Linked DNA regions of Canis lupus familiaris. The protein of the gene in region 1 purifies or fractionates together with the protein of each later gene. This does not show direct contact. Links are inferred from orthologs where the notes say so. Each region holds a gene or a part of one and is shown in the gene's direction. Other genes may lie near its edges. The genes, in order: CDK8, MED24, MED16, MED12L, MED25 and MED13L.

Region 1 (4,062 bases):
ACCTTCAGCTGGCACCTTTCCTACTTAAAATGATCAACAATTTAGTTTCCATGCATTTAGATTCATTGCTGTAATCATGGCTAAACTTTGCTGTTCTAGGCAGTGGTGCAGAAGGCTGTACTCAAAATAATGTTCCCTCTGAATGGATGGGAAGCATTCAGATGGTCACCTGTTACAGGATTAAAACTATGACCACTCGGGCTCATTGACTCACTTTTACCGACGTTTGTAATATGTGTCATGTTGGTATCATCGTGCAGCCCTTATCAGATTGTGAGCGACAAGAACACAGAACCGTCTGTGAGATGAGATGTTTACAAACATACAGACTTTCGATAATGATAATGCCCTTTAATATCTTGGAGTTCGGAAGTGGCACAAAATGTGGTTCTAATGCAAACTAGCTTCCCTCGCAAAAAATTTCTGGTTATGTTTATGGCCCAAATCTCGCTCTAGTGATATTGCTGTAAAAAAAAAAAATTTTTTTTTTTTCCTCCAAGCGATTGCCACTAATTTCACCTGGGACTACTGATCCCATCATGCAACGCTCCCGTATTACCACCGTGTGGGGCGGAGTCTTAGAAGGGGGTGGCAACGACGGCCGCCCGTGCATTCTGGGCATTGTAGTCTGGGGCCCTGGCCGCCGTCGGGACAATCCACGTGGTTCATCCAGCGGCAGCTTTGGGCAGTGGCCACCCCGCTTCCTCCACCCGGTCCTCGAGGTGCGGGCCCCAGCGGGGCCGGACCGGCAACGCGGAGCGGGCTGCGGGGAGGCCCGGAGGCAGCCGGAGCCTTCGCGACGTTTTTGCGACAGCCGTGGCCGTGTTCCGCGCGTCCCCTCCCTCCCTCCTCTCTCTGAGGAGGTACCGGCTGTTGTGCGGCGCTGCCTTTCTGTTTGAGTGTATGAGAGAGAGAGTGAGTGAGTGAGTGTGAGCGTGTGTGTGAGAGCGGGTGAGGCGTGAGTGCGAGTGCAAGAGGAGGAGAGCCCGCCGCGGCCGCCCCGCCGCTCCCCGCCGCGGGAGCAGAACGCGCAGCAGGAGCGAGCCGGAGAGCCGGCGCCCCGGAGCCCGCGGGGACAAGGGCAGAGACGCCGCTCCCCACCCCCAGCCCTCGTCCCTCCGCTCCGCCGCGCCCGGGGGAGCCTCCCCGTGCCCCCCCTCCCGGCCGGCCTCTGCCCCGCCGCCCCCCTGGATGTCCCCGGCGCTCTCGCGGGGCCTCCTCCTGCTCTTGCCGCATCAGTCAGGCTGGTGCTGCGGCCGCCGGGCGTAGAGCGGGCGGGTTCCCGGGGGCTGCGGCTGCCGGTGCCTCCCCGGTCCCCACCCCTGCGCCCCGGCCCCCCGACCCAGCTCCCCGGCCCCGGAGGCTGTGACAATGGACTATGACTTTAAAGTGAAGCTGAGCAGCGAGCGGGAGCGGGTCGAGGACCTGTTTGAATACGAGGGCTGCAAAGTTGGCCGCGGCACTTACGGTCACGTCTACAAAGCCAAGAGGAAAGATGGGTGAGTGTTTGTGTCGGTGCCGGTGTCCGCGCTGGGCGGCGCTCCCGCAGGCCGAGGCAGGTAGCCCGGGGCGGGGGGGGGGTGCTGGGGCGCCGGCGTGCCGGTCTCCCACTTCCTCGGCACCAGCATCGGGTCCTGCCAGCCAGGTTTGGGGAGGAAGTGCCGTACGAGGGATCCAAGCCCACGCGAAGCCCTGCCTGCCGCCGCCGCCTTCGTCTTCTACTTTGCTGGCTAATAGGGAGAAGCAGCATCTACTCCAGGGGCTGTACACTTTTCAAGGATTTCGGTTCTAGATTTTTAAAGAATTGTAGTAAAACGTCAGCTTAAATGATTTTCGTCGTGGGTGGGGGGGGGGATGCCTCGATTTATTATGGTGACCTTCTGGGGGATTTCCTCACGCCTCTGGAGTGAGATCCGTCAGTCTGGAAGGGAAGCTGCGATCCTTGCCCCCCACCGGGGTGTGATTGATTTATTACCAAATTTGGATTTTATTTGGGGGGGGGGGGGAGAAAGCAGCAGGTAAAGGTGATGCTGCAGAGTTCTTCGTAGTGATAATCGGATATAAACGTAGCAGTTGCTATTTAGAGATCATTAACCTGAGTTTTACATAGAACAATGGGGGTTTGGTGCAGGGTGGGTGGTGGGGAAAAAAAGGCAAGGGACAAATAGGGGACTATCTTGTTCAGGCCTGTTCCCCCAAAATGTAGCAGTCGGCAATGAACTGTAAATAGTCCCTTTGCTTTAAATATTTTCCCCTAGAAATAACTTAATTAAGTCTACGACTGGTAATGCTCTCAATTTAGTTTCTTAAACAGGCAAGTGAAGTGTTCATTTTTCCTTTGTCAGTAGATGAATGTCGTGTAATATTGACAAAAGAGAAGGCAATTCTTAGTTGAGGGGAAAATATATTTTATTAACTCCTTGTTTTCCTCTTGTAAAAACGTATGTTGTCTCTATCGCCTTAGACCGTGCGGAAAATTGCTGGAAAGATAATGTCAGAGCTTATTATATAATCTTTAGATTTCAGTGTAAACAAAGTAGGTTTATTTGAATATCACTGTTAATTTGCTAGCTACCTTTCACCATTTAAAATGATTGCTTTTTCCCCCCCCTCCCCAAATTAGGTAGGAGGGTATGTTCAGAACTATATTAGCGCTAGAAAAATGAAACCATTCATAAAGCTGAAGTAAGTTGGGGGGAGCCATATTTATAAATACTTTAATATTCTGGATATTGGAAAAGGAAGTGTATATTCGACATTTTTCTTAGATTTACTAAGATATCTTTTTAAGATACCTTAAAAGGGACTCTTAGAGGAAGATAGCGATTCTAATAAATTTAGTATGGTGCATTTCAGTGCTTATATGCAGCAATTAAAGCAGTACAGATATCTGCAAAAGGTCTGGATTTGAAAACTTGATACTCTGTGTGCTGCATGTATTTAAAAGTACTTAGTGGAAGATAATCTGGTGACATTTGAGAAATCATAGACTGGAGATGCCTGCTGTTGACTCTGTTGTTTATATTTTTAATTGAAAAATTCTAATAACATTTTTTTAAAATCACCTTTCTCATATAATATTTTTCAAAATCCTTAAACCATATCCCTTTCCCCCAATATTACCTAATTTGGGGCATATTCAGAAAATCCTCAATCCCATGAGAGTAGACATAGTAGGACATCTAACTAGTCTGTCATCTGCTTTATAAAATTATGGTGACCTTAAATTATTTTTAATCTCTCTGAGAGAAGCCAGTTTTATTTTCATAAATTAATAGTTTAAGCTAATAAAATACATAAATTTATTAACTTTGATTTTATATTTTATTTTAAACCTATGATACTGTTTATTGCCAAGAGGTACTTTTAACCACATTTTATACCTCATGGTTAGGTTTTAATTTAGACTAAGAATAGTTTTAGAAGAAATATACAATTTGAAAATAGCTAAATGTATATAGTATGTGAACATTTCTTAGGCATTTGTGAAAGCTGAAAAGTAGCATTGCATTTTGGAAAAAAAAATAACTTTATAATTCTTTGGGCTTGTTTTCCAGCAACCTTTAATGATTTTGTTTATAGGATGAACTTTAAAAACATACAGAAGGATCAAATGTCAAGAGAGTTTTAAAATTACTTAAGACAGCTTTTGTTTTCCAGAGGGAATATTTTTGGTTTGGCTTCTTATAACCTCCCTCTGGTAAAATACTGCATTGTATTTATGAGGTTCTTTTGATCTTATGTCAGTGAAATGTAATTTAATGCATTTTAGTCCTGGTAAAATAAAATCTGTGGCTGTTTAATCTTTTGTAAAAAGATGATGATGAAATAATTTGTTTCTAGTATTGATTTACTTTCAAATTAAATTATACATTCTGTAACTGAAATTTCAGAGTACTCTAGGAACCCAATTACACCTTCAAAGAGAATCCTGAGATTTACAATAAAATAGGTTTTGTTTAGACATATTTGCCTATTAAAATGAACATATGTAAATGTTGTATCCTTTCGGTTGTCCAGCAAGCATCACAGAACATGAGTACGTAGTAAAAGAATTTAGAC
Region 2 (4,107 bases), on another chromosome or scaffold:
TGGAGACCCAGGATCGAATCCCACATCGAGCTCCCTGCATGGAGCCTGCTTCTCCCTCTGCCTGTGTCTCTGCCTCTCTCTCTCTGTCTCTCATGAATGAATAAATAAAATCTTTTTTAAAAATGGGTTTAGGGATCCCTGGGTGGCGCAGCGGTTTGGCACCTGCCTTTGGCCCAGGGCGCAATCCTGGAGACCAGGGATCGAATCCCACATCGGGCTCCCGGTGCATGGAGCCTGCTTCTCCCTCTGCCTGTGTCTCTGCCTCTCTCTCTCTCTCTCTGTGACTATCATAAATAAATTAAAAATAAATAAATAAATAAATAAAAATAAAAATGGGTTTAGATATACAGGAAAAGATATAGTAGGGAGCCCCCATCTACCCCATACCCAATTTCTCCTTTTATTTAGCCTCTTATGTTAGTATGGTATTTTTTTTACAATGAATGAACTACTATTGGTATGTTATTATTAACTGATATCTATGCTTTTCTCGTATTTCTTAGTTTTCACCTAATGTTCTTCTTCTGTTCCAGGACAACATCTGGGAGGGATACCAAGTTACATTTAATAATTATGTCTCCTTGGGGATCCCTGGGTGGCTCAGCAGTTTAGTGTCTGCCTTTGGCCCAGGGCGGGGTTCTGGAGTCCCGGGATCGGGTCCCACATCGGGCTCCCTGCATGGAGCCTGGTTCTCCCTCTGCTTGTGTCTCTGCCTCTCTCTCTCTCTGTGTGTGTCTCTCATGAATAAATAAATTTTAAAAAATTATGTCTCCTTAAGTTCTCTTGGCTATGACAGTTTCTTAGACTTTCCTTAATTTTAATAACCTTACCCCTATTTTCCTCCTTAGTTCTCCCCATATTCAAGCAGTATGCGGGGCCAGGAGATTCTGGGAGGACTGCCAAATCTGGGGGTTAAATGGTGATGTATGTGCAACTGATCAAGCCCCAATGTCGCCTTTGGAATACGAGAACTCTGGTATATGCAGAGGTGTAGGAGCACCAACTAATTAATTAATTAATTGATTGATTTAAAAAAAAAAAAGGCCAGAGAAGAGAAAAACGTATTACTGAACAAAAACCACACCCCTACTGTGCCTACTAGCATATAACGAAAGAGTGTCAGAATATCATTTAAATGCCTGGTCAACAGTGACGTCTTTGGGCGACGCCTGTTTACGAGCAGTCTTTTGAGAGCTCTCCCCCTCTTCGCTCCCGGAGTCTCTGTGATGCTTCAGCTCCTGCCTGTCCTTTTCCAAAGCAGAGAAACAATGCAGGCTGACTAGCTTAGTCCCTTGGGTTCTCACTAGCCCAGGCCAAGGAACTACAATTCCCAGAAGACATCGTGGAGTGACCTGTCTCTTGCCGCATTCTTATTGGCTCATGTTTGTTACTCCCAGCCAATAGAAGTTAAGCTCTTTGATAAGTGCCAAGATGGCGACACTTAGGATGTAGAACTAGCTTGTACGGTAGGCTTAAAATTGGGGAGGTGGTGGATGAAAAGGAAATAGGGAATTATAGTTTCAAGGTTGGGGGAGGTGGAGGAAATGGAGGAAAAACTGTGGGTTTGGGGTGGTAGGGGCTGAGGGACGCAGCCAGAGCTGAGGGCGTAATTAGGCATTCGTATTGGCTTAACCCCTTGCCACCCTCTTTACTCTTTATATTAAGTCCCTTTGACACCCTTTTCTTAGTGCTCCAGTTTAAGGAAGGATGATTCAGGAGGGAGGAACCTGACAGAATCTCTTCCTTGTCCTCTTCCCCATTTTTTCTTTGTAGTTCTTCTGCCTCCCTTAAATCTTCCCGTATCCGTTTCATTCAACCTGGCCCTTCTCTGTTCTTTCCTTCAGAATCTCCTCTCCCCTTCTCTTAGCTCAGTTTCTCCCACCTCAAAGCTGACTGCCATCGGCCCCTTCTCCGAGTGAAATCATGAAGGTAGTGAACTTGAAGCAAGCCATTTTGCAAGCCTGGAAAGAGCGATGGAGTGACTACCAGTGGGCAATCAACATGAAGAAATTCTTTCCCAAAGGAGCCACCTGGGACATCCTCAACCTAGCAGGTCTCAAGTGGAGTAGGAAGGAAGGATGGGAGGGCTAAACCCATAAAAATTATAACCACTCAGTCTTGCTTTGTTATTCCCCTTGCAGAAGCACTACTGGAGCAGGCCATGATTGGACCTTCCCCCAATCCTCTCATCCTGTCCTACCTGAAGTATGCCATTAGTTCCCAGGTAAACTGCCCCACCTATTCCAGAGAGTGAGGATTTGAAGGTAAAAGACTTGGAGTACAATCGTCAGCTCTCGCTTTCTAGGTGGATTTGTTTCAACACAACACTTCTCTGAGCCTCAGTTTTCTTGTGAAAATAATAATACTTCATTGGTTGTGATGAATGTTACATGAATTTATTCTATCAATAAATATTCATAAGTGTGTCAGATAGTGGTATAGGCCCTGGGGATATAGCTGTGAACAAGACCTGATCCCAGTACACACAAGGAATTTAGTGAGTAATAACAGACATAAGCAGTCACAGGATGGGTTTATTTATTTATTTATTTATTTATTATTATTATTATTTTTTAAATTTTTTTTTTTATTTATTTATGATAGTCACAGAGAGAGAGAGAGGCAGAGACACAGGCAGAGGGAGAAGCAGGCTCCATGCACCGGGAGCCTGATGTGGGATTCGATCCCGGGTCTCCAGGATCGCGCCCTGGGCCAAAGGCAGGCGCCAAACCGCTGCGCCACCCAGGGATCCCACAGGATGGGTTTATGACGAAGGTTAAGACAGTACTAGGGGAGTATGTGCGAGAGGCATGGAATTCAGCTAGGCAATCAGGAAAGGCTTTCTGGAGAAAGTGATGTTTAAACCAAGATCGTATTGTTAATAGGAGTTAGCCAGGCATATTGGTGAGAGTGTACTAAGCAGAAAGAAAAGCATATTTAGAGGCTGGGAGGCAAAAATCACATGTTGTTTAGGAACCGAAAAAAATTTATATGGGTAGAGCAGTAGTTTTGGTCTCAGGACCCTTTTATTTTCTTAAAAACTGTTGAGACTCCCACAAAGCTTTTGTTTATATGTATTACGTCTATCCATATTTACCGTTTTAGAAATGAAAACTGAGAAATTTAAAGAATAATTATGAACTTATTTAAAAGTAATAAAAAGTAAAGTCTGTTAAATAAAGCCTGTTATATTACACATTAATATAAATAACATTTTAATGGAAACCATATTTCCCAAAACAAAAAAGCTAGTGAGGAAAGTGTCATTGTTTTACGTTTTTGCAAATCTCTTTAATGGTTTAATAGAAGACAGCTGAATTTTCATATCTGCTTCTGCATTCAATTGTTGCAATAGGCTATTTTGGTTGAAGTTTATGAAGAAAATCTGGCCTTACACATCAGACATTTAGTTTGAAAAGGGCAGAGAATTTTTTTTTTTAAGATTTTATTTATTTATTCATGAGACACAGAGAGAGAGAGAGAGGCAGAGACACAAGCAGAGGGAGAAGCAAGCTCCATGCAGGGAGCCCGACGTGGGACCCGATTTCAGGTCTCCAGGATCACACCCCGGCTGCAGGCGGTGCTAAACCGCTGCGCCACCAGGGCTGCCCAGGGCAGAGAATGTTAAGCTTTTCAAATAACTGGATATTCATTGACACCAAAAATTCAACAGGTGATGTGAAACCACATAAATGAACTTAAAAATAAGTTAATTATTTTTTAAGTAAGCTCTTCATCCAATGTGGGGCTTGAACTCACTCACTACTCTGAGATCAAGAGTCTCATGCTCTGGCTCAGTTGGAGCCAGGCTCCACTCAATGAACTTTTTATACTCTGTTACATTGAAATCCATTGGTCTCTCTCTTGCATTTTGAACAGATCTTTTACTCATGCATGATTTTATAATATCACGAAGTGGTCATGTGGAAAATATCTGTTACTGGGTTACACAGATATTCCAATTGTTGACACATTTAATTATATGATTCACATGTCATGGAGCCTTTGGGATGTTCCACATACAGTTGTGGGAGAATGAGAGTAGAAAAGGCAAATAACATCTTAGCAATACTTTTTTTTTTAAAGATTTATTTATTCATAGAGACA
Region 3 (3,975 bases), on another chromosome or scaffold:
TCTGAGTGCCCGCCGGGCGCCAGGGGAGCTGGTGTGGCTTGTCCAGGGATCAGGGCTGCGCCCCCTAAGCCCGCCTGCGCCCACCTGCGGACCGGCCTGCGCCCACCTGGGGGACCCCCTGTGCCCACCTGGGGGACCCTTTGCACCCACCTGGCGGCTGCCTGCACCCACCTGGCGGCCCAGGCTACGCCCACCTGGAGGACCCCCTGCGCCCACCTGGCGGCCCTGCCTGTGTCCACCTGGGGGACCCCCTGCTCCCACCTGGGGTACCCTCTGCACCCACGTGGCGGCCCCCTCTACCCACCTGGCGGCCCAGCCTACGCCCACCTGGAGGACCCCCTGCGCCCACCTGGCAGCCCCACCTGCGCCCACTTGGGGTACCCCCCTGCACCCGCCTGGTGGTCCTGCCTGAGCCCACCTGGGGACCCCCCTGCACCCGCCTGGTGGTCCTGCCTGAGCCCACCTGGGGACCCCCTTGCACCCACCTGGTTGCCCGGCCTAGCCCACCTGGAGGACCCCCTGTGCCCAACCTGGCGGCCAGCGGACACGCTAGAGCGTGCACGGCCACGAGATGCCCCGGAGGCCGTGGAGTGGGGGGGAGGGGCACTCGGGTTCCCCAAGGGTAGGGCGTTGCCCACTCACGGGCGGACCCCGCGTGGCCGGCGTCACCGTGGAGCCGCAGGCACCGGACGTTGGGACGCAGGCGCTGCTCGGTCGGTCAGGCCTCCACGTGTGGAGCCTCAGTTTCCCCACACGCGGATGTCCGGGGAGAAAAGCAAAATATGGAACGCTTCACGAATTTGCGTGTCATCCTTGCGCAGGGGCCATGCTAATCTTCTCTGTATCGTTCCAATTTTAGTATATGTGCTGCCGAAGCGAGCACGAATTCCAAAGCGGCCCAGCGAGTATTTATAGTCCCAAGATGAAGTCACTTTACACAAAGGGTGAACTTTTTCCCCACACCGGGGTCAGCGACCTCTCTCTTCTTCCATACTCCCAAAGCAGGTAGGGCAGCCAGATTGGATCCTTCGCTGAAGTTGGGAAAGTGCTCGCTGTGCTACCAACTAGAACTCAGGTGGCTGCCGGGACGCCATGAAGAGTCGTATGCAAATGAGTCGGAAGTGGGGCGGGGCGCGGTGGTCGCCGCCTTCCCAGGAGTCTCTGGGGCGCGGTCGCGCTGCGCGGGCGACTCGTTGGTCGCGGGGAAGATGGCGGCGCCGGGGCCGCGGAGCTAGGGCGGGTGTGGGCCGCGGCCGCCTGCCCGGTGAGCGCGGGGCTGGGGCTCGGGGGGCCGCCCTCGGGGTTGCGGGGCGCCTGGGGGCCGGCGGGGGCGGGGCATGGCGTCCGCGTCGGGGCTCGGAGGCGCGGGGCCTCGGGCGGCGGGGGACACGGCGGGGCTGAGCGGACTCGTAGCGCCCCGGGCCCGGGGTCAGGACGTGGCCCGCCTCCGGCGCGGGGGGCCGCCGGGGAGCTCGGCGCCTGTGGCTCCGCTGCAGGAGGGGCCCGGGTACCGCCCTGCGCCCCCCTGGGGACCCCCCTGGGGTGGAGGCCTCCGGGCCCCGCCGCCCGCCCCGCCCCCCTCGCTCATCTCTCCGGCCGCGTGGGCCCCTGTGCCCCTCCACCTGCGGCGGCCCCTCCCCAGGCAGCTGCGCGCCTGCCCTTTGCCAGCCGCACGCCGGTGTTGCCCCCGCTGAGGCCTCCCACGAGCCCCAGGGGCGGGGATTGGTTCATCTCGGCGCCCTGCAGGCAGCGGGGACCGCGCGGTGACCCAGCCCGCCCTCCCGCAGGAGAGCCGGCCGCCCTCGCCGTGGGACCTGTGGCCTGCGGGCACGCGATGGATCTGGCCTACGTGTGCGAGTGGGAGAGGTGGCCCAAGAGTACCCACTGCCCGTCAGTGCCCCTGGCCTGTGCCTGGTCCTGCCGCAACCTCATCGCCTTCACCACTGACCTGCGGAACGACGACCAGGGTGTGCCTCCTTGCCCCCTGCCCAGCTCCCCTGCCCCAGCGTCCGCGCTGGGGGGACTCTGGGTCTCCAGGCGTGCCTGGGAGCTGCGCCTCACCCATGTGGCCCTCTCAGGGTTTTGTCATCCATAACCGACGGGTGGTGAGGACCCTAACCTCACAGGCGTGCAAAGGGCAGGTGCACCGCTCCTGCACCTGGCGTTGGGGCTGGAGTAGGTGGGACCCCGGAATCACCCCTTCCGGTTGGAATAGGGCCTGGGGTGTGTGGTCCACTAGGGCTGAGAGCCCTGAGCCCCAGTTTCCCAGACTGTACGTTTGCATCTTGCTTTTAGAAGCTTTGAAGTTTAAAAAAAAAAAAAAAAAAGAAAGAAGAAGCTTTGAAGTTGCTTCGTGGGGCCCTGTTTTCTGTGTGTTGTTTAAGTAGCACGTATCTGTTGGAGGAAACTAGGAAAGCAGAGGAATTTAGAATAAGGAAAAAGAGCCGTGGAGAGATGCCCGTTGTTAGCATTTGGGGGCATTTTCTTGTTTTCTGATTTCTTTTTTTTTTTAAGATTTTTGTTTATTTATTCAAGGTGGGTAGCGAGAGAGAGAAGGGGGTGTGGGGGGAGAGACAGGTTCCTCGCTGAGCAGGGAGCTCGATGTGGGGCTCCATCCCTGGACCCCAGGATCATGATCCGAGCCGAAGGCTGACGCTCAGCCAGCTGAACCAACCACACGCCTCTCTGTGTTTCTTTTAAAAACACGGTCATGGGATCCCTGGGTGGCGCAGCGGTTTGGCGCCTGCCTTTGGCCCAGAGCGCGATCCTGGAGACCCGGGATCGAATCCCACGTCGGGCTCCCGGTGCATGGAGCCTATTTCTCCCTCTGCCTATGTCTCTGCCTCTCTCTCTCTCTCTCTCTCTCTCTCTCTCTCTGTGACTATCATAAATAAAATAAATAAATAAATAAAAATTAAAAAAAAATAAAAACACGGTCACACTAGTGGCAAGGTCACAGGCCTGCTGTGGTCCCCAGAGGGAACCCAGGAACACAAAGGCTGTTCCTTGTTGGCAGCAGGGCTCTCTACGTGGTTAGCCTCTCTGCGTGGTTAGCGGTAGCGCAGCTACCTGCCATCCCCGTAGGGTAGATCGTTCGCTGGAATCCTCTCTGAGCCCTCCTGGGGTCCTCAGAAGCTCCAGGGTGGTTATGGTTGCCGTGCTGACTGCGCTGTCCTCCGCAGACCTCACCCGCATGATCCACATCCTGGACACGGAACACCCCTGGGATGTGCACTCCGTCAACTCAGAGCACAGCGAGGCTATCACCTGCCTCGAGTGGGACCAGTCAGGTGAGGAGGGGCCTGGGGACAGGTCGTCCTGCGTGGCTGAGGGAGACAGTGATGCTCCTCCTTGACCCTGAATCTCAGGGTCACGATATGCTCTGTCTTCCTGGTCACATCCCCCGAGTCCACTTCTGGGACTTGAAGCCTCAGCCTGTGGCTCTGTGGCCGCTGCTCTTCGCATCCAGTGCACACACTTGTTTCGGGAACGCACCTCGTGCCACTCCCCTGCTGTGCTGCCACCAGGCTGCTTCTCCCAGGCCCCGGACGTGCTACCAGTAGCTGCCCCTGCCCACGGGGAGGGTTTGCAACGCAGGTTTGCCCCCAACAGGCTCCCGGCTCCTGTCGGCTGATGCTGACGGGCAGATCAAGTGCTGGAGCATGGCGGACCACCTGGCCAACAGCTGGGAAAGCCACGTGGGCAGCCTGGTGGAGGGTGACCCCATCGTGGCCCTGTCCTGGCTGCACAATGGCGTGAAGTTGGCGCTGCACGTGGAAAAGGTGGGTGTCCCGGCTGAGCAAGCAGGTGCAGTCGGTGACGCGTTCACCTGCCTGTCCACCTGCTCTCTGCCGCCTCCTCTCCCTCCACCTGCATCCTTTGGTTTTCTAGTCCTGGGCCGAACTCCTGCTTGCAGTCAAACTGTGAGCACCCGTGTCCTCGGTGAGCCGCCGTGCGACGACGGTGGTTCTCAGA
Region 4 (4,154 bases), on another chromosome or scaffold:
ACGGAGGGAGGGCCCCGAAGCGGCAGCCATCATCCCCGGGCAAGTGGCGGCGCCTCCCCCGCCGGGTCCCGGGGGCGCGGCGCTCGCGGCAGGTGGCGCGGCCTCCCGGCGCCCAGGCCCCGGGGCGGGCGGCGATGGGCTCGGCGCCCCCGGCCCCCGCGCAGGTGAGGCTCCGGCCCAGGCCGACCCGGGCGGCGGCCGCGGGGGGGGCGGGGGGGGGTCCCGCGGGCGCGCCCCCCGCGCCGAGCCCCCCCGGGACCCCCCCACCCCCGGCGCCCGGGCCCGCGGGCGGCGCGCTCTGCGGCTGCGAAAACCCGGCGCGGCGGCTCGGAGCGCGCTCGCCAGTGCCGGGCCGGCCGCCGAGTGGGCATGCTCAGTGCGGCCCCGCGCCGGCCGCCAACTCCGAGCCTCGCGCGCCCGGGCCGTGGGGGCGAGGACGCCGGCGGCGGCGAGCCGGCGTCGCCCGCCGCCCCCAGCCAGCCGCAAACTTGGCGGGGTCCCCGGAGCGCGGGCCCAGGCCTCCCCGACAGGATCCCCGCGCCCGCGCCCGCGCCCCCGCCCCCGCCCCCCGCCCCGGATCATGGAGGCTGCGGCCGCCCGGGTGCCGCCGCCGCCGCCGGCCCCTGCGCGCTAGCGGGGACCAACAGGTAAAGCGTCGGGGGGCGGCGGCGCCCAGGGGTCCGCGGGCTCCCGCCGCCGTCGGCGCGCACGGCCCTCCCCGCGCTCCCCCGGCCCCGGGCGGCGCCGCAAAGGGTTAAGGCGGCCCCGCGCCTCCGCGAGCTCGGCCCCCTGCAGCCCCGCCGCGACCGCCCGCAGCGCGCTCGCCGCCTGCCCGGAGCCGCCGCCGCCGCCGCCGCCGCCGCCTGGGGGGGGGGGACCGGAGCCGCGGAGCCCCGGAGCCTCGGAGCGCCGCGGGAGCCAGGCAGGCGTCCAGCCCCTGCGCGCCCGCATCCCCGCGGGCCTCGCTCCCTGCGCCCCGGCCCGGCCCGCGCCCAGGTGCGGGGGCTGCGGGGAGGGGTCCCCGCCGAGCGAGAGCGGCGGGGGCGGGGGCGCCCTGCCCGGGGCCCGAGGACCCCCTCACCTGCCGGCAGCGCTGGGGCCGCCCGCCTGGGCGCCCAGAAAAGTTTTTTTTCCGCGCCCCCCCCCCCCCGCTGCCCGTGCCCCTCCCCCACCCCCGTGTCCGGCTGGGGTGGGTTTGGGTCCATTGGTGCAAAAAGTCACACGTCCCCAGCAGCTGCTCCTCCCCCCGCCCCCCCCCCCCCCCGGGGACGGGAGGAGCGGCGCGTCCCGGGCCCGAAGCGCCGCCGGTGCCCGCGGGAGGCTGCGTGCGCGCCGGGCAGAGGCTGCAGCCACCCCGCTTTCTTCGTGCCCGCAGCGCCCCGGCAGCGCCCCGGCAGCGAGCGAGGAGCGGCGAGGAGCGGCGAGGAGGGGGCGCGCGAGCCTGTCTGCAAAGTGCTGCTCCCTGGTGCTCAGAGGCGGCGGCTCCAGCTCCAACTCTCATTCATTTCGCCGGTTAACATGAGAGATCATGGCCGCCTTCGGGCTCCTCAGCTATGAGCAGAGACCGCTGAAGCGCCCCCGGCTCGGGCCGCCCGACGTCTACCCGCAGGACCCGAAGCAGAAGGAGGTGAGGAGGCGCCGGCGGGGCGGCCTCCCCCGCGCCCCGGGCCGCGCTCCGCAGCGCTGAGCCGGGGCCAAGTTGGCCCAGCGGGCGGCGCGGGCGCAGCTGCGGGGCCGGGGGCGCGGGAGGGGCGGGGGGCGGGGGGGCCCCGGTCCTCGGTCCTCGGTCCTCGGTCCCCGGTCCCCGGCGGCGGCGGCGGAGACCCCCCGGCTGGCGGCCCCTGCGCGGCGCGGGGGCGCCCGCTCTCCGCGACCCGGGTCGCCCGTCCCCGGGCCTTGCGCGGCGCCGCCGGGTGCCCCGCGGGGCCCCCCTCCGCCGAGCCCCCCTCGCCCGCGCGCCCCGGCCGCCGCCGGCCGTGGTTCGGTCCCCGCTGCCCCGCTCTGTCCTCGTAAACTTTTGGGGAAATGTTGGAATGCGGTGCCTCCGACACGGGTCCCCAGGTTTTGCGCCAGCTGAGCAGCGACCGGGTGGAGGGAGGTGGAGACGGGGGTGGAGGGGGTGGGGGGTGGGGTGAGGGGAGACCTTTTCTGGTCGGATTTTCCCGTTTGCTGGGGAAGTCTTTTTTTTTTTTTTTTTTTTTTTTTATCGAGGTGATGAATATTGAGGTCTTTGCACGCACTTCTTTCTGTAGTCCCCCTTTTCCCTTTAAAAAAAAAAAAAAAGATCAGTATTAAGGGGAGCCTGATTTTCGTCCCTAGAGGCGATTGGTTTAATTGCGGGAGGCTGTTTTGTATATGTAGAAGCCGACGGGTTACCTTGGAAGGGAAATGAGTCCCGAGATGGCTTATTTCTTTGAATGAAACGGGAGAAAGCTCGACTCTCGCCTTAGGTACACTGGCTTCGGTGTCTGGAGTAACCATGGCATTTTATAGCCATTGATGTGTTTGTCAGTAGTTAAGAAGTAATTATGTAACAACTCTCCAGTTATAATGATCACCCTTGGCTACACAATTTGCCCAGGGATTTGCCTTTTCTTTTCTTTCTTTCTTTTTTTTTTTTTAAAGATCACCTGCCACCCAGCTGTGCTTTCTGACTTTGCCAGCTGCAGCCCACCCATCCTCTGTTTTCTCCAGCAAAAAAAAAAAAAAAAAAAAAAAAAAAACCCAAAAAACAAAAAAACAACACACACTAAAAACGAAGTGAGCACATTGCAGAACTTCTCTCCGGGAATCTAAAAATCCTCTGTTAAAAGTTTGGAGGCCCACTGACATCACGGAAAGGGCTTTGTGAAGAAAGAGGGAGGGGTCCTTAGGACTCCCCTTTGGATAAAGGTATTTATTTCAGTAACAGAGGAAGAATGCTTGTTCTGATTAAACTTCTGTTAATATTTCTGGAAATTAAGGAGTGGCAGTTCCTTTTAGAGGCTTAAGCACGTAAACATGTTGGAGCATCCGTGGAGTGAGGAATTCAGGTGGAAGCTGGGAAGGTTTTACAGGTGGTTCTGTTGAGGCTTCATTCACAGAAGGATGGATTGATGAGATCTTGCAGATTCCCTCTCCATCTATTTCTCTCTGGGCTGTTTCCACTCAGATTAAAGTTAATTGTTAAGGACTAGAAATAACAGTTACTGAGGACCGACCGTAACAAAGGTAGTCGCTTACAAATCAGTGTCAGGAAATTTTTAAAGTTTTGGTGGGGACAGCGATACTGATTGGCTCATCGTTCTCCTCTTGTAACGTCTTGCCATATTTTCCAGAGGGAAGTGTAATTAATAGCATCTCCCTAGTTACGGGATGGTCGTCTGGGATGCCGTGTGGACTTAATATATATAGTGTTTATTTCTCAGGTCAGCGCTCATTCGGGATTGAGGCCTCTCCAACTATGGAAAAAATTATTTTGGATTTTAGGATTTTACAACATGTTCTGGAGTTCAAAACCAGAAGTGAGCTTAGAACCTATTTTATATAACTTTCTTTTGACAAAGTGAAACTGAGGCCCCAGGAAGCTTGCTTGACTTAATCAAGGTGTGTGAAAAAGAAGCGGAGGATTCGGACCACCAAACCAGTATTTGTGTCAAGACCAATACTGTGTTAAGAATGATTCATGTTAAATTGTGTTGTTCGGATATTACCCCCTTTCCCCCAAGGCAGCCAATATTTCGTCTCTCTGGAGCAGAGCCAGAGTTGTGTGTGGCCACAGTCAAATTTGAATACAATATGGAACAGGTGCTTGGCTGTTCTTGGGTGGTGGTGTGGTGAGCCCTGTTCCACAAGCTTCAGTTATTTATGTAGGTTCCCAAGAGTTCCTTCCTATCCCTGTATCACCTGTACTTTTATTCTAATGTTTTCTTTATTTTTTTTTAAAGATTTTATTTATTCATGAGAGATACAGAGAGAGAGAGAGAGAGAGAGAGAGAGGCAGAGACCCAGGCAGAGGGAGAAGCAGGCTCCATGCGGGGAGCCCGACGTGGGACTCGATCCCGGGACTCCAGGACCACGCTGTGGGCCGAAGGCAGGCGCTAAACCGCTGAGCCACCCAGGGATCCCCATAATGTTTTCTTTAAATTAACCTTTAAGAAACTTGGTTTCCTAGG
Region 5 (3,500 bases), on another chromosome or scaffold:
AGGAGTCCAGGATCAAGGTGTGGGCAGGGCCATGTTCCCTCTGGAACCCCTAGGGGAGGCTCTTTGTCTCTTCCAGCCTCTGATGTCCCTAAATGATCCTTGGCTTGTGGTAGTGTTGCTCCAATATCCACATGGCATTCACCTTGTGTCTCTACATTGTCTTCCTTCTGAGCATGTCTGCTTCTGTATCCAAATGTCCACATTGGATTTTGATCACAAGGACACAGGTCATGTTGAATTAGGGCCGACCCTGTGACCTCTGTAGTCACCTCACCTCTGTAAATATCCCGTTTCCAAATAAGATCACGTCTGGTACTGGGAGTTAGGACTTCAACATTTCTTGGGGAGCGGGGCACAATTCAACCCATGACAAGGGGAGGACGGAGGAGGCCCCCACATTGAGCTGGGAGGGTGGGCCAAGGCCAGGCTGGCTTTAAACATGGAACAGCCCAAAGGGAAGGTGCACAGGGATGGGGACACGGGATGAGATCCTAGGCCAGGTGTCCTGGGCTCTTCCCTGTTCTGTGTTCTGGCAGGACTGCTGGCCAGAGGGCCTCCATCAGGAGAAGACAAACAGCCCTCATCCGCATTCACTAGGCCTGGCGCTGAGTCAGCACGGGATAGAACAGGAAGCTCAACAGGGTCTCTATGCCCCAGTGCAAAGTGGAGTGTGGGGAGGAGGGTGACACAGGTGCAGGCTCTCCAGGTGTGAGCTGGGGGCTGGGAGGTGGCAGCCCTGGGTGCCACGGGGAACCCTGGGGCTGATAGTCTCACCCCTTGCAGGTTCATGGGCGGGGGTGGTGAGAGTTGTAGCCTCATCGCGGAAGGCCTCAGCACGGCCCTGCAGCTCTTCGATGACTTCAAGAAGATGCGGGAGCAGATGTGAGTGTGCCCAGTACGTGGGGCCCCTAGGTGTCTCCTTCCACCTGACTTTGTTTGTCGCAGGACTCCACCCACGCCTCACACCAGGTGGGGGGGGCGGGTGGGCTGAGTGCTGAGTGCTCTAGGCAGGCGGCAAGAGGTGTCCCCTGGCCAATGCCTGGTCTCGGTGTCCTCATTGGGAAGAGGAGCCTTGCTCTGGGTCTGCCGCCTGCTTCCCCTATCTGCTAGGGAAGCCAGAGGGAGTCAGGAACCTCTCGGGGTCTCGGTGTTCTCGGCTGTAAAATGGGGCTGGTACTCCCAACTTCCTGTGGGATGGACCACTTGCACCCTGCTGGGGCTAGGGCTGGGTCTGTCCCTTCTGGGGGCCCCTGTTGTTACCGGCTCCACGTCTTTCCTTCTCCCTGGCAGCGGCCAGACACACCGCGTCTGCCTCCTCATCTGTAACTCACCCCCGTACCTGCTCCCTGCCGTCGAGAGTACCACATACTCTGGGTACACCACAGAGAGCCTCGTGCAGAAGATAGGTGAGGTGAGGACTCCTGAGCCTGGGCAAGGGGCTAGGGCTCGACTCCCAGATCTCAGGGAAGAGGGGGCTGGGGCCCGGACTCCTGACTTGGGGCCTGCTCTGCAAACAAACACCTTTGGGAAGAACTATAACCCCAAATCCCCTGTGGCAGCTGATACAGGTCTCAGGGTTGTTTGTCTCAAAGCCTGATGGGAATCCTGTTTTAAGGCCCAGGAGATGTGGTAGCCTGGGGGTGGCCCCTGTGGCCCCACCCTCACCGCTTATCTCTCCTCCTGCAGCAAGGGATCCACTTCTCCATCGTGTCTCCCCGGAAGCTGCCTGCCCTGAGGCTTCTGTTCGAGAAGGCAGCTCCACCGGCCTTGCTGGAGCCGCTGCAGCCACCAACAGATGTGAGCCAGGATCCCCGGCACATGGTGCTGGTGCGGGGGCTTGTGCTGCCAGGTGAGGCCTGAGTACCAGCAGTGGAGTGAAGAGGAGAGGGCCAGGCCCCCTCAACTCTCTCTGACTTGGTTTTTTCTCCCCTTCCTCAAACCCCTTCATGGGGGGCTTGGTTGTTCATGCTTCACTCTCAGTTGGGGGTGGCTCAGCCCCAGGCCCCCTGCAGCCAAAGCAGCCGGTCCCCCTGCCTCCAGCTCCACCCTCGGGTGCCTCACTCTCAGCAGCGCCCCAGCAGCCTCTGCCCCCCGTCCCTCAGCAGTACCAGGTATGGATGTTGCCAGAAAGGGAATGTGTTCCTGGGTCCTTGTGGGATCCCTTGCCTCTTGGGGAGACCTAGCTGGATGCTGGGGCTTGTAGGGTGACAGGACTCTCCACTGGGACGCTAGGATGGGTGGACTCTTGGGGCCAAGGAATCACATCCCTGTGGAGTGATGGGAGTCATCCTGCTGCGGTGTCACAACTGGGGTAGCTGTGCCTAGTTGGGAGGGGGCATGGTGGCATGATCCCACGGGACACCTTGACTGGGGTGTGTGGTCCTCATTGCCTTCCACTCCCAGGTCCCTGGGAACCTGAGTGCAGCTCAGGTGGCTGCCCAGAATGCAGTGGAAGCCGCCAAGAACCAGAAGGCTGGGCTGGGCCCCCGCTGTGAGTCCTGAGGCGGGAATCTGGGGTGGCCTGGGGTTGTCCAGACCTCTCTGCACATTTGTCCCCACCTCTTCTCTTGGTCTTTCCCACAGTCTCACCCATTAACCCTCTCCAACAAGCTGCTCCAGGAGTGGGTCCCCCCTTCAGCCAGGCACCGGCCCCACCACTACCCCCGGGGCCCCCTGGCGCCCCCAAGCCACCCCCTGCTTCCCAGCCCAGCCTGGTCTCCACTGTGGCTCCTGGCCCAGGCCTGGCCCCCCCTGCACAACCTGGGGCCCCATCCATGGTAGGTGTTTGTATGTCTGCCCCACTGCCCTACTCATTCCAGCTGCTAACAGAGCAGAGGCCAAGCAATTTGTCTTCCTGAGGAGGGTGTAAGGGTACATGAGTCTTGTTCTGGTTCCTCAGGGGTTCCTGGGGCTTGTGCCATGGACAACTGAGACTAGAGGGTCTGAGGATGGAATAGTGGGGCTTTGGCTTCTGGTGGGTTAGAACTGTTCAGAGGTGTCCCAAGGGATCCTGGGAGTCAGGATATCCATAGGTCTTCAGAGTCCTGGGATCCTACAAAGTCAGAGCATTTACGGTCTGAGGGACCATCGAGTGGTGTTGAGGAAGGCGCCTGTACTCTGCTCCTCCTGCTTGTCTGTCTCTCTCGGGTCACCCCTCCCAGGAGATGGTCTGACCCTGCTCCATTGCCCTCCTTGCTCCCCTCTGGCAGGCGGGCACGGTGGCCCCAGGTGGGGTGAGTGGCCCTGCCCCGGCGCAGCTGGGGGCCCCGGCCCTTGGGGGGCAGCAGTCAGTGTCCAACAAACTCCTGGCCTGGAGCGGGGTCCTCGAATGGCAGGAGGTGAGTAGCTTGAGGATTCCTATGGATCTCATGGCCTGTTAGGACTGGGGACTAGGCCAGGGTCCCTGTGGGGCCGTGGCTGGCCCTGTGGTCCTGAGTAGAGTCTCAAGGAATCCTTGAATTGGCAACTAGGGAGCTAGTAAGAACTGGGTTGCAAGTGAA
Region 6 (4,032 bases), on another chromosome or scaffold:
CGGGGGTTCGAGCTCCGCCGCCGCTTCTTCCCCGCCGGGCGACCTCGGGCAAGTGACTCGGTCTCTTCGACTTCATCTCTTTGTGCTTCAGTTTTCTCATCTGCAAAACGCGGACGCCCGAGCGCGACCTCGCCGAGGCACTCCCGCAGCCCGGGGGACCGGCAGGCGAGCCCACCGCAGAGCCCCGCCAGGCCGCCCCGCCTGCGCCGCCCCGGGGGGCCCACGGCGGGGACCACGGGCGTTCCCGGGGCCCCGCGGTCGCGCCCCGCCGATCCGCGCCTCCGAGGGGGGCGGGGCACGGCGCCCACGCGGGGGCAGCCCACGGCAGCGGAGCCGCGCCGCCCGCGCTTCTTTCTCTCCCTCTCGCTGTCCCTCCCTCCCCCGGACGGAGGCTCCGGCCGCGCTCGGCTCAGCAGCGCCGCCCGCGAGCCGCCCTCCAGCCGCCGCCGCCGCCGCCGCCGCCGCCGCCGCGGCTGCAGCTCCAGCTCCGGGCCCCTCCCCCGCCCCCGCCCCCGCCCCCCCGCGCGGCCGGCGCCCGTCACGTGACGCGGCGCTAGCCAATGGCGGGCCGAGCCGCGGTCGGCGGCCGCCATTGCTGTCAGAGCGAGCGAGCCCGGGGAGGGAGGAGAAGCGAGGCTGACTGGGGAGGAGGGGGGGGGTGGGGGAGGAAGAGGAAGGAGGGGACGTCGCTCGGCTGCCGGGGTCGCCCGCTGGCTTCGTCCGCACCCCCCCCTTCGCGAGTTCGCGCTCCGCGGCGGCGGCGGCTCCGAGGCGGCGGCGGCGGCTCCGGGGCTCGCCTCCCCTCACGCGCCGGCGGGGGCCGGGGGGAGTCGGTGGCTGGAGATAAACAAGGCGGCGGCGGCGGCGGCGGCGGCGGTGGCGGCGGCGGCGGCGGCGGCGGAGGCACAGGGAAGGCGGAGGCGGCGGCCGGCCGGGAGGCAGCGGCGGCCCTGAGAGGCGGGGAGGGCGCCGGGCCGCGCGGACAGCGCCCCCCGCCGCCGCCGGAGCCGCGCGAGCCGCCGCGGGAGCCGCCGCGGGAGCCGCCGCCGCCGCCGCCCGAGCAGGAAGGAGCCGCGCGGCCGCCGCGGACCCCCCCGCCGGCCCGGGCCCGCCGCCCCCGGCGCGGCGTCGCCGCGGCGCCTCCCGCCCGCCCGCCCGCCCGCCGGCCCTCGCGCCCTCCTCCCCCGGCGGCGGCGGCCCGGCCGCCCCGCGCTCCCCGGCGAGGCGCCGCCGCCCGGCCCGGCCCGGCCTCGCCTCGGACGCCTCGCTCCGACATGCCCCGCTCTGGCGGCCGGGCTCGCGGAGGATCATGACTGCGGCAGCGAACTGGGTGGCGAACGGGGCGAGCCTGGAGGATTGTCACTCCAACCTCTTCTCGCTGGTGAGTAGCCGGGCGGCGGGGAGGGGGGCTGCGGCGGGGGGGCCCGACCTGCGCCGCCGACCAACTTTCTCCTCCCGCCGCCGGGACGTCGCCCCTCCCTCGCCGCTCCCCGCCGCCCGCCGCCCGCCGCTTCTCCCCCTTTTGGATCGTCTCTCCCTCGCCTTGGATCCCGTCCAGTGTTTATTTGGCTCTTTAAAAATCATTTGTGAGCGCGGCGCTCGGCGTGGAATTTGCATGTGGAAGTCTCAAAGCTGCGGATTCTGGGTCGCACTTCGAACGCCCACCCTCTGTTGCCATCACACCCCCTTCCCCTCCCCTCTCTCCCCCCCCCCCCCTTTTTTACCCCTAAATGTGGAAGGCTTTGCCTTGTGCTGCCCGCGCCCGCGATAAGCAGCCTTTTCTCCCCCCCCCCCCGCCCGCCCCCCTTGCGGGATCGGCTGCCCGCCCGCCTTTCGAAAATTTTTTTTTAATTCCGTAATGACACCTGCAATTTCGCCCGAAAACAGTTGATTGAATGCGATTGTGTCAGTAAAGGACTCTTGCACCCGAAGCTCCTGCGATTGTAAACAGCGACGGCCGCCTGCCTCTCGGGGCTCCCTGCGCCGGAGAGCCGGAAAGCCATTGCACCGAGCCGACGGAAGGTGGAGGAGCCTTTTTCTTCCCTCTCTCCTCCTGTGTCTTTTAAAAACTGTTTTCTCTATCCTAACAACGAATCCACACACACACACAAAAGCAACAAGCTGGGCGGTTTGATAACATCGCTTTTATCTGCCTTCGCCTTTCTCGCGCTCTCTCTCTCTGATAATTGACAACTTTTCCCTCGGATTTGAATCGCCTGCCTTAATCTTGAAGCAGTTAGGGTGTCAATTGTTCTCCTGGAAGCCTGGCACCCGACGACGACGTCTAGATTCATCGAAATTAAAAATGTATAGGGCTCCAGCAACTCTTTCCTGGCGGTGGCACTGACATTTGGTGGTAAATGCCATCTTTGCTTTTTTATTGGGTCGTATTACCTAGCTCTGAAAACATTCACCTTGTTAAACCTGGCGTTTAGGCTAATAATTGCGGTGCGTGGTCTTTAAATATGTGCTTTGTGCATGAGTTACTGTATGTATAGCTATGTGCCCGGGAGACTACGAATTTGTTTAAATATTGAGCAAAGATTTGTAAACAGATGTAAGGCAATTATGTTTCAAGCGTAGAATATAATTGGAAAATTGGCTGAACGGTTTGTTTAATTTAGCTTTTAAAAAAACCCAACTTAAGTCATGTACCCTTTTTGAGGGGGACTGCCTTTGGAGAGCATGCATTTTGGAAATTGTTTTCTGTAACCCCTGCAGTAGATAGAAGCATCATTTCCTTTTAATCCTTGTTTACAATTACACTGGATAAATAATTTAGTGTTCAAATTGTAATTAGTTACATTTAATTATGGGTAGGCATAGATGCTTTTTTTTTTTTCTCTTTGAGACTAGTGGAGAAATACACATTCTTGCCAACTTTTCAAATGGAAGTGTTATTTTATTAAATATTTCCTTATGCAGATAAAAAACATCAAGACACGTGATTTTTACCTACAAAAAGACGGTGACATAATATCTGTACTTTAAAGTATAGATCAGGTCAGTCTTTTTTTTTTTTTCTTCCAACATTTTTATTTAGGTATTCAGTCTTAAAATTCAATTACAAGTTTCAGTTCTGCCTCTTCGTACTGTGATAATTTTCCCTTGATCTTTCGACATATAGGAATAGAATTCATTTTGCCACCTCTTTTCTCTCTCCCAGTATATCATTTAGTATCAGTCAGATTCAGAGACTTTAATAGATTAGCAAACATATTGATTAAGGGGTATTTAAAATGGTTTTTGTTTGGTGGCTGGTGACCACATTGACACTTTAACAGGTAATTAAAATAACCAAGTAGACCAATATTAGTGAGGAGAGAGGCCCGAAATTACCATATATCATTCAGACTGGTAATGGCTTGTGTATATGTGGCTAATTTATATACAGTAGATTTTGCAGACCAATGAAATTATACGTGTAGCCAGACTTTAGGATATATCATTTTTTTATCTTTTTTTTTTTTAACTCAAGGATGATAATGTTAAAGAGATAAGATGCTTGAGATTCTTTTGGAGAAACAAGCAATTTTATAGGAGAGGATTTTGTGTTTTATGACTGACTAAAGGTTTGTACTTTGGGTATTTCTCTCCTCAGCCTTTTTAAACCAGGAATTGAGGGTTGTTGTTGTTTGTGTGTGTGTGTGTGTGTGTGTGTGTATAGTATTACTTATTAGGTGGCAACTTTGAAATAAAGAGCTGAGGAAATGCATGGGTTGACCTTTTCTTTTTTATTTAACAACTGTAGAATGTCTACATTCTTTTGTGTATGAAGGGTGGATAAGGTGCTAATTTTTTTTTTTAATTGAGAATCTTAAAAAGCTGATGATACTGTGAATTTTTGCTCATTCCAAATGAAGAGTTTCCTTGAAAAGCAAATACAGCAGGAACCTAGAATTTTAAAAATACGTTGTCTGAAGTACATTGTATAGAATAGTTAATTCCAAGGGAGATAAAATCATCTCCTGTTTAAAATAAAGCATGTATTACAAGGACTCTTATGTGCTTAATGATAGCATGTATTTTTCT

Evidence for each region.
Region 2: the proteins of CDK8 (region 1) and MED24 purify together in Homo sapiens (affinity purification with mass spectrometry; 13 studies listed by BioGRID and IntAct, counting the BioPlex papers as one, with this or other methods). This does not show direct contact. The link is inferred for Canis lupus familiaris from reciprocal best matches to the Homo sapiens genes CDK8 and MED24.
Region 3: the proteins of CDK8 (region 1) and MED16 purify together in Homo sapiens (affinity purification with mass spectrometry; 10 studies listed by BioGRID and IntAct, counting the BioPlex papers as one, with this or other methods). This does not show direct contact. The link is inferred for Canis lupus familiaris from reciprocal best matches to the Homo sapiens genes CDK8 and MED16.
Region 4: the proteins of CDK8 (region 1) and MED12L purify together in Homo sapiens (affinity purification with mass spectrometry; 3 studies listed by BioGRID and IntAct, counting the BioPlex papers as one, with this or other methods). This does not show direct contact. The link is inferred for Canis lupus familiaris from reciprocal best matches to the Homo sapiens genes CDK8 and MED12L.
Region 5: the proteins of CDK8 (region 1) and MED25 purify together in Homo sapiens (affinity purification with mass spectrometry; 8 studies listed by BioGRID and IntAct, counting the BioPlex papers as one, with this or other methods). This does not show direct contact. The link is inferred for Canis lupus familiaris from reciprocal best matches to the Homo sapiens genes CDK8 and MED25.
Region 6: the proteins of CDK8 (region 1) and MED13L purify together in Homo sapiens (affinity purification with mass spectrometry; 6 studies listed by BioGRID and IntAct, counting the BioPlex papers as one, with this or other methods). This does not show direct contact. The link is inferred for Canis lupus familiaris from reciprocal best matches to the Homo sapiens genes CDK8 and MED13L.

Annotation. Positions count from the first base shown.
Region 1 is NC_049246.1:13,239,498-13,243,559, reverse strand, and holds the start of CDK8 (cyclin-dependent kinase 8), read left to right. Parts: upstream 1-1,262; 5' UTR 1,263-1,371; coding exon 1,372-1,499; intron 1,500-4,062.
Region 2 is NC_049230.1:22,449,387-22,453,493, forward strand, and holds the start of MED24 (mediator of RNA polymerase II transcription subunit 24), read left to right. Parts: upstream 1-1,307; 5' UTR 1,308-1,466; intron 1,467-1,844; 5' UTR 1,845-1,923; coding exon 1,924-2,053; intron 2,054-2,141; coding exon 2,142-2,224; intron 2,225-4,107. UniProt on the Homo sapiens protein: Component of the Mediator complex, a coactivator involved in the regulated transcription of nearly all RNA polymerase II-dependent genes.
Region 3 is NC_049241.1:58,250,127-58,254,101, forward strand, and holds the start of MED16 (mediator of RNA polymerase II transcription subunit 16), read left to right. Parts: upstream 1-1,175; 5' UTR 1,176-1,264; intron 1,265-1,787; 5' UTR 1,788-1,834; coding exon 1,835-1,967; intron 1,968-3,182; coding exon 3,183-3,290; intron 3,291-3,612; coding exon 3,613-3,782; intron 3,783-3,975. UniProt on the Homo sapiens protein: Component of the Mediator complex, a coactivator involved in the regulated transcription of nearly all RNA polymerase II-dependent genes.
Region 4 is NC_049244.1:46,222,505-46,226,658, forward strand, and holds the start of MED12L (mediator of RNA polymerase II transcription subunit 12-like protein), read left to right. Parts: upstream 1-1,354; 5' UTR 1,355-1,528; coding exon 1,529-1,627; intron 1,628-4,154. UniProt on the Homo sapiens protein: May be a component of the Mediator complex, a coactivator involved in the regulated transcription of nearly all RNA polymerase II-dependent genes.
Region 5 is NC_049222.1:107,405,568-107,409,067, reverse strand, and holds part of MED25 (mediator of RNA polymerase II transcription subunit 25), read left to right. Parts: intron 1-783; coding exon 784-882; intron 883-1,290; coding exon 1,291-1,411; intron 1,412-1,686; coding exon 1,687-1,849; intron 1,850-1,980; coding exon 1,981-2,111; intron 2,112-2,403; coding exon 2,404-2,491; intron 2,492-2,583; coding exon 2,584-2,777; intron 2,778-3,209; coding exon 3,210-3,338; intron 3,339-3,500. UniProt on the Homo sapiens protein: Component of the Mediator complex, a coactivator involved in the regulated transcription of nearly all RNA polymerase II-dependent genes.
Region 6 is NC_049247.1:13,395,099-13,399,130, reverse strand, and holds the start of MED13L (mediator of RNA polymerase II transcription subunit 13-like), read left to right. Parts: upstream 1-1,232; 5' UTR 1,233-1,309; coding exon 1,310-1,381; intron 1,382-4,032. UniProt on the Homo sapiens protein: Component of the Mediator complex, a coactivator involved in the regulated transcription of nearly all RNA polymerase II-dependent genes.